Linked DNA regions of Xenopus tropicalis. The protein of the gene in region 1 interacts with the protein of each later gene in a biochemical or structural test. Links are inferred from orthologs where the notes say so. Each region holds a gene or a part of one and is shown on either strand. Other genes may lie near its edges. The genes, in order: cacna1a and cacnb4.

Region 1 (3,924 bases):
TCAGAAACCAATGCAAGAATTTACTAATCAGCCCTTATACAATCCTAGCATCAGCTTCTGGGACACGTGAAACCCCATTTTCTGCTTGGTAGTTTGCCACAACCCCAAGTTTAGCTTCTTAACAGCAGCCCAGAGCACACTGAGCATGTCAAGAGTCATTGACACTTCTAACAGAATCCAAGGTGGGGATCTTCTCTGACACGTTTGAGGGCCTGGATCATTACTACTACAGAGATGCTAAAGCTTTAGGCTGGTGCAATAAGTTCAGTATATTATGGCATTCCTAACTATATTCATTTTTACCGTTTAGTGCTCCTTTAAGTATTAGAAAATAGGAATTTAATCAAGTGAGTAGGGCACACAACTGTCTTGAAACGTTTGGTCCTATTCTCTGTGTCCTGAACACCACAATAAAATTGGGAACACCCCACTTCAAGGTATTGTTGTTCCTTATGATCTGGATATGTGTACTGATGGCAGAGGACATCAACGTTAATGCCTTTACCCCCTTACCATTGCTTTCTATCAGCTCCTCATTAAAGGGGAACTACACCCAAGCACAACTTAAGCTTTTTGAAAAACATAATTTCAAGCAATTTTGCAATATATGTCATTTAAAACATATGCAGTCTTTTTTATGATTTTAAATATAATAATATGGTTTGGAACAGTCCCCTAAGCCCCGCCCCCTGTTCCTCTGCTGATCTGGCTGACTACTTTGTGACTCAAATAAAATGTAAAAGTAGTTGACTGTCCTCAGCCTGCCTTCAGCCTGCATCCTCCCAATCCCACAATCCCCTGCACACGTGATGTCAATGCATTGTGGGTTATGTAGTTCCTGCAGGCTGTCTGTAAGCTGTGGAGAAGTTGTATCAATGTTTTAGTCCCTCCTCCCCTGCCAGGATTTCAAATGACGCAGAAAGAGAAGAACTGGATTTCAGCATAAAAAAATTGTATTTACTCATATTTACTGAAGGAACAGATTACAGTGATAGGTTTATAAGGGGTTTATGTGTTGTGCAGGGATTTTCAACACATTTTGGTTCAGAAGCCAGACTTTAAGATAGTGTAGCACCCAGTATTGTGTTGGTGATGGAGCACATCAAAAATTTACTTCCAATTCCATGATTTAGAGCATTTTATTGAAGTGTTGCATTCCTTAACTACTCTGCCATCTCACTCCTTTTGAATATATGATTTTAGCAACTATCATAGCTAACTGCATCGTACTGGCTATGGAGCAACACTTACCCGTGGGGGACAAGACACCAATGTCGGAACGTCTGGTAAGAGCCTTGACACAATTAAAAGATGGAAATGATGTTTTTTTTCCCCTCTTTATGATGATCAGTGGTGTAACTATAGAGAAAGAGGGTCTGCTTCCCCTATAGCCACTCTAATTGGTGAAGTTATGTGCCTGCTGCTTTGTATTTGCAGAGGGCATAACTTCGGCACGTACTAGTGATGTGCGGGTCGAGAAAACCTTGAGAAAACCTCGACCTGCACTCCCTAACTCTACCCGACCCCACTTCTCCCTTCTGTTAATATACCTGTGCCCCACCCACCCTGCAATGAAGCCACAAAAGGGGTGGGGCATGTTAGGTGCATGCCTATAAATTCACAAGCCAGAAAATGAAGCTGACAGTGTTAGGTCGCGGGCGGAGAGGGGGAATGGAAGAACTCAACCCAAAAAAGCCAGCGAACCGCAAGTGATGTGCCAAGGTCAGCCTGAACCCACCCGCGGGTATCAGAAAACCTCGACCTGCACCCGACCCTAACCACCCACTTCCAACCCTAACCCTACCTGGCCCCATTTCTCCCTTCTATTTATTAACCTGTGCCCCACCCACCCTGCAATGAAGCCACAAAAGGGGTGGGGCGTGTTAGGTGCACGCCTATAAATTCACAAGCCAGAAAATGAAGTGTTAGGTCGCGGGCGGGGAGGGGGAATGGAAGAACTGAATCTGCCTGTGGGGATCAGGCCGGCCCACACACCACTAGCGTATAGGGGCGGCGCTAAGTGCCTGTGCACGCTGGGCCCTTCTAAAGATTTCCTTGAAGGGGGTCCCGATGCATTACCAGTATGCCACTGATAATGATAATGGAAATTAGAGTGTTGTAAGGGTTAATAAAAAATCCCAGCTGGGTTCAACCTTATAAAAATTGTGTTTTAAGCCTTTGCCAGGCCTACAGGGGAAAGGAAAATGATTCCAATGTCAGTTTTCCCACCTTACCTAGAAACAAAATAGTAGAATATTTCTGCCATCTTTCTTCCCTGCTGTCATTTTCACCAGCTGGACCAGTAAAATATTGGCCAGGTGGCAGCACTTTGGGTAGTGCACTGCTGCCAGCTGAGTGTAGCGTCAGTACTGCTGCGGTGCAACTGCAAACAGCACCGCTTTGTGCTTAAAGCTAATGCACCAATACTATGAGGCCTTGTTTAAAACTTCTTATTGCCAGTAGCGATATACCCCAAATTTACCTTCCATCTTACCTTCAGCTCAGCTCTCCTGTTCATGTAAGTGAGATGCACTATTCAGATACATGCACTCTTGCACCCTCAATCCAGGGGTAGCATAGTGTTCATGTGTAATGCCCTGGAAGACATGCAGGGAATTGTGGAAGCAAATTGTGGGGGGGGGGGGGGGCACAAGGAGCTAGGTAAGAAATATCCAACCCGCAGCCCTTTAGTAGTTTATATGGCAAACTGATAAATCTGTACCAGGCTGTAACCTTTTTTCTTGCTTTGCAGGATGACACTGAACCCTATTTTATTGGAATTTTCTGTTTTGAGACGGGGATTAAAATCATCGCCTTGGGATTTGCCTTTCACAAAGGATCCTATTTGCGGAATGGCTGGAATATCATGGATTTTGTGGTTGTGTTATCAGGGTAAGAAATATGAACTATTTGTGTTTTCTGAGTTAAACATTTTATGAAAACCCATTTTTCAACCTAACCCACATAACAAATAAAGGGTAACTTATGCCCTCAAGTGCAGTGTGCAAGGTGCATTTAAAAGGGATAATGTACCCCCTACTCTAAATGATAAGGATATTAGCAGTCACTGAGGGGTTCTGTGCCCATATAAAGGCACAAGGCTGCAGGCTGAGTTATACAGGGAACTCTGAGTATCACCCATGTATTATAAGGGATAATGTACCCCCTACTGTAAATGATAAGGATATTAGCAGTCACTGAGGGGTTCTGTGCCCATATAAAGGCACAAGGCTGCAGGCTGAGTTATACAGGGAACTCTGAGTATCACTCATGTATTATAAGGGATAATGTACCCCCTACTGTAAATGATAAGGATATTAGCAGTCACTGAGGGGTTCTGTGCCCATATAAAGGCACAAGGCTGCAGGCTGAGTTATACAGGGAACTCTGAGTATCACTCATGTATTATAAGGGATAATGTACCCCCTACTGTAAATGATAAGGATATTAGTAGTCACTGAGGGGTTCTGTGCCCATATAAAGGCACAAGGCTGCAGGCTGAGTTATACAGGGAACTCTGAGTATCACTCATGTATTATAAGGGATAATGTACCCCCTACTGTAAATGATAAGGATATTAGCAGTCACTGAGGGGTTCTGTGACCATATAAAGGCACAAGGCTGCAGGCTGAGTTATACAGGGAACTCTGAGTATCACTCATGTATTATAAGGGATTATGTACCCCCTACTGTAAATGATAAGGATATTAGCAGTCACTGAGGGGTTCTGTGACCATATAAAGGCACAAGGCTGCAGGCTGAGTTATACAGGGAACTCTGAGTATCACTCATGTATTATAAGGGATAATGTACCCCCTACTGTAAATGATAAGGATATTAGCAGTCACTGAGGGGTTCTGTGCCCATATAAAGGCACAAGGCTGCAGGCTGAGTTATACAGGGAACTTTAAGTGTCACTCATGT
Region 2 (3,824 bases), on another chromosome or scaffold:
TTATCTTAGCAACCAGGCAGAAGTTTGAATGAAAGACTGGAATATGAAGGAATAAAAAGTACAATAATAAAATTGTATGCTCATAGAGCAATAGATTTTCGGCAGGAAATAATTCAAAAACTATACAATATAAATAATAAAGACCAATTGCAAAGTTGCTAGAAATGGGACATACTGTAATATACTAGAAGTTAACTTAAAGGTGAACCACCGCTTTAGTTGCAGATGCCAAAAGAGTTCTCCCAGTAGAATCTGCTAACACTAGTTTCAGGGAAGGCCTATGTCCCCTTTAATCATTATAAAGCAGTATTTGCCATATTACCGCTGGTCCCATATAAGGTTTATAGGGTGTCAGACAGGAGACAGCTGCTGGGTATTTATGGCGGGTCTGTGTGCCTTTAGACAAAGCCGGTGGCATTCGCTGTGAGGACGAACGTGAGCTACTGCGGAGCACTGGATGAAGATGTCCCCGTGCCGGGCACTGCCATATCTTTCGATGCCAAGGACTTTTTACACATTAAGGAGGTAAATATAGGGTGAAGGCCTCTGGCCACTGGCAAATAAAATATCGGCGGCAAGACCGCAGCTTGTTAAAGCTAAAAGGGAAACTGACTGGCTGCCAGCGCTTGGGAGGAATTAGCTGATTAACCATTTCCATAGTAGGCGGCACCATGCTCGGTTCTGCTGAATCCTTCTGTGCAGGAGAGGGAATGGTTAAATCCGCACCCTCATAGGTACATTCTTTTTTTTCATCTGCACAACTCGGCTTTTCTAGAATTTATTTATTTTGCTTTATTATAATGTTCAGCCTGACATAGCAATTAAGGGAATATATGGAGTTTCGATTGGTTATAGTTTATTTATAGGTTACAGTCAAAGGGAAATAGAACGATACTGTACTATTGCATAAAGCGCTGGCATGTAATGCTATCGCTTGAATTAATAGGGGGGACGCTGAGCTTTAAATTAAGCACCCTGGTCATTGTTCTTCATGTTTTATCTGCTGTGCTTTTTGCCTTTCTGTTCTGCCCCTCTGCAAAGTCATATCTAAAATGCAACTTGGTAACTGGGGCCAGTGATTTAGACCCTGATATCATACGGGTATTAAGTCTGAAATGTTATTATTGTTGGCTTCTTCATTCTGGCATAAAGAAAAATGCTCAATAAGATCAGTTTGTCTATTATTCACAATGGAATGTAAATTTGTGGGCAAAGCCTGCACTGGCATAACTATAGAGGAGGCAGATCCTACAGGGAGGATAGGGGGGCATAGACTGGGGGGTCTGCTTCATCTATGGTAAGTTGCTAAGTTTAGGTAAATTTAGGGAGTTAATACAGGGGTAGGGGAGATAGCTCTCAGTACAAGTGAGGGAATACAGGGGTAGGGGGGATAGCTCTCAGTACAAGTGAGGGAATACAGGGGTATGGGAGATAGCTCTCAGTACAAGTGAGGGAATACAGGGGTATGGGAGATAGCTCTCAGTACAAGTGAGGGAATACAGGGGTAGGGGGGATAGCTCTCAGTACAAGTGAGGGAATACAGGGGTAGGGGGATAGCTCTCAGTACAAGTGAGGGAATACAGGGGTAGGGGGATAGCTCTCAGTACAAGTGAGGGAATACAGGGGTAGGGGGGATAGCTCTCAGTACAAGTGAGGGAATACAAGGGTAGGGGGGATAGCTCTCAGTACAAGTGAGGGAATACAGGGGTAGGGGGATAGCTCTCAGTACAAGTGAGGGAATACAGGGGTAGGGGGGATAGCTCTCAGTACAAGTGAGGGAATACAGGGGTAGGGGAGATAGCTCTCAGTACAAGTGAGGGAATACAGGGGTAGGGGAGATAGCTCTCAGTACAAGTGAGGGAATACAGGGGTAGGGGAGATAGCTCTCAGTACAAGTGAGGGAATACAGGGGTATGGGAGATAGCTCTCAGTACAAGTGAGGGAATACAGGGGTATGGGAGATAGCTCTCAGTACAAGTGAGGGAATACAGGGGTATGGGAGATAGCTCTCAGTACAAGTGAGGGAATACAGGGGTAGGGGAGATAGCTCTCAGTACAAGTGAGGGAATACAGGGGTAGGGGGGATAGCTCTCAGTACAAGTGAGGGAATACAGGGGTATGGGAGATAGCTCTCAGTACAAGTGAGGGAATACAGGGGTAGGGGAGATAGCTCTCAGTACAAGTGAGGGAATACAGGGGTATGGGAGATAGCTCTCAGTACAAGTGAGGGAATACAGGGGTAGGGGAGATAGCTCTCAGTACAAGTGAGGGAATACAGGGGTAGGGGGGATAGCTCTCAGTACAAGTGAGGGAATACAGGGGTATGGGAGATAGCTCTCAGTACAAGTGAGGGAATACAGGGGTAGGGGAGATAGCTCTCAGTACAAGTGAGGGAATACAGGGGTAGGGGAGATAGCTCTCAGTACAAGTGAGGGAATACAGGGGTATGGGGGATAGCTCTCAGTACAAGTGAGGGAATACAGGGGTAGGGGGGATAGCTCTCAGTACAAGTGAGGGAATACAGGGGTAGGGGGGATAGCTCTCAGTACAAGTGAGGGAATACAGGGGTATGGGAGATAGCTCTCAGTACAAGTGAGGGAATACAGGGGTAGGGGAGATAGCTCTCAGTACAAGTGAGGGAATACAGGGGTAGGGGAGATAGCTCTCAGTACAAGTGAGGGAATACAGGGGTATGGGGGATAGCTCTCAGTACAAGTGAGGGAATACAGGGGTAGGGGGGATAGCTCTCAGTACAAGTGAGGGAATACAGGGGTAGGGGAGATAGCTCTCAGTACAAGTGAGGGAATACAGGGTTATGGGAGATAGCTCTTAATACAAGTTGATCCAGGGACTGGTCCGATTGCCCTCTGCGGCAAATTAGAGAGGCTTCAAAAGGGGTTTTTGCCTTCCTCTGGATCAACTGGCAGTTAGGCAGGTTATATTAGGCATTATGGTTGAATGTGATGGACATATCCTAACATATGTCCTAACATATACCTAACTTACTATGTTACTATGTGCCAGACCCCTCCAAAGATTTTGCAGACTAATTACACTACAGGGCCCATTAAACAATGGAACTATGGGGGGGCAAAATTGCTCCCCTTATGACCCATACATGGAGCATTTGCACCTGTTCCATTGGCAGCTACATACTATGCTCTGTCCCTTGTGCCAGATTAAAATCAGTTGCCAGGCAGAGAATGTAGTTTACTGGGGTACAAGGGAAGCCAGTACTGAATACCTGCCTTTGGCGGCACCCTCTGGTACCCCTACCTTGTGCATCCTGAATGCCATGTAGGGTGGGGACAAACCATACCCATGTGGCATCAGTACTTTATGCAGAGCTGTCAGGCACTTCCAACTCTGCATACATAGGTGGACACAGGTCTTTGTGCTCTGTTTTGGAATTTTAAAACATTTGCTCCTTTTCCCCATAATGGTAAATGTGCCCGATACTGTTTGTCCCTAATATCCCTTGAATGGATCCAAGTGCTCATTATAGAGCAACTACCTATAAATGCGCCTTCCCTCATTGCAGAAATACAACAACGACTGGTGGATAGGAAGGCTGGTGAAGGAAGGCTGTGAGATTGGGTTCATCCCAAGCCCCCAGAGACTGGACTACATCAGGGTTCAGCAGGAGCAGAAGAGAGGACGAACACATGGAGGGTAAATCCCAAGATTCATTTCTACAATAGTAAATTGGCTGCTATGGATAGAAAATAGGCAACGCTTTGTCATATTTTCTTTATAAAGGTGAAAAAAGCTTTTCTCCTAGTTCCAAACACGATATATTTCTTATCTCCAGTTCATCCAATGGC

What was found.
Region 2: the proteins of cacna1a (region 1) and cacnb4 form a complex in vitro, tested with the Homo sapiens proteins (2 studies listed by BioGRID). The link is inferred for Xenopus tropicalis from reciprocal best matches to the Homo sapiens genes CACNA1A and CACNB4.

What each region holds. Positions count from the first base shown.
Region 1 is NC_030679.2:140,775,939-140,779,862, reverse strand, and holds the start of cacna1a (voltage-dependent P/Q-type calcium channel subunit alpha-1A), read left to right. Parts: upstream 1-1,185; 5' UTR 1,186-1,193; coding exon 1,194-1,286; intron 1,287-2,752; coding exon 2,753-2,892; intron 2,893-3,924.
Region 2 is NC_030685.2:75,956,860-75,960,683, forward strand, and holds part of cacnb4 (voltage-dependent L-type calcium channel subunit beta-4), read left to right. Parts: intron 1-402; coding exon 403-525; intron 526-3,541; coding exon 3,542-3,672; intron 3,673-3,824. UniProt on the Homo sapiens protein: The beta subunit of voltage-dependent calcium channels contributes to the function of the calcium channel by increasing peak calcium current, shifting the voltage dependencies of activation and inactivation, modulating G protein inhibition and controlling the alpha-1 subunit membrane targeting.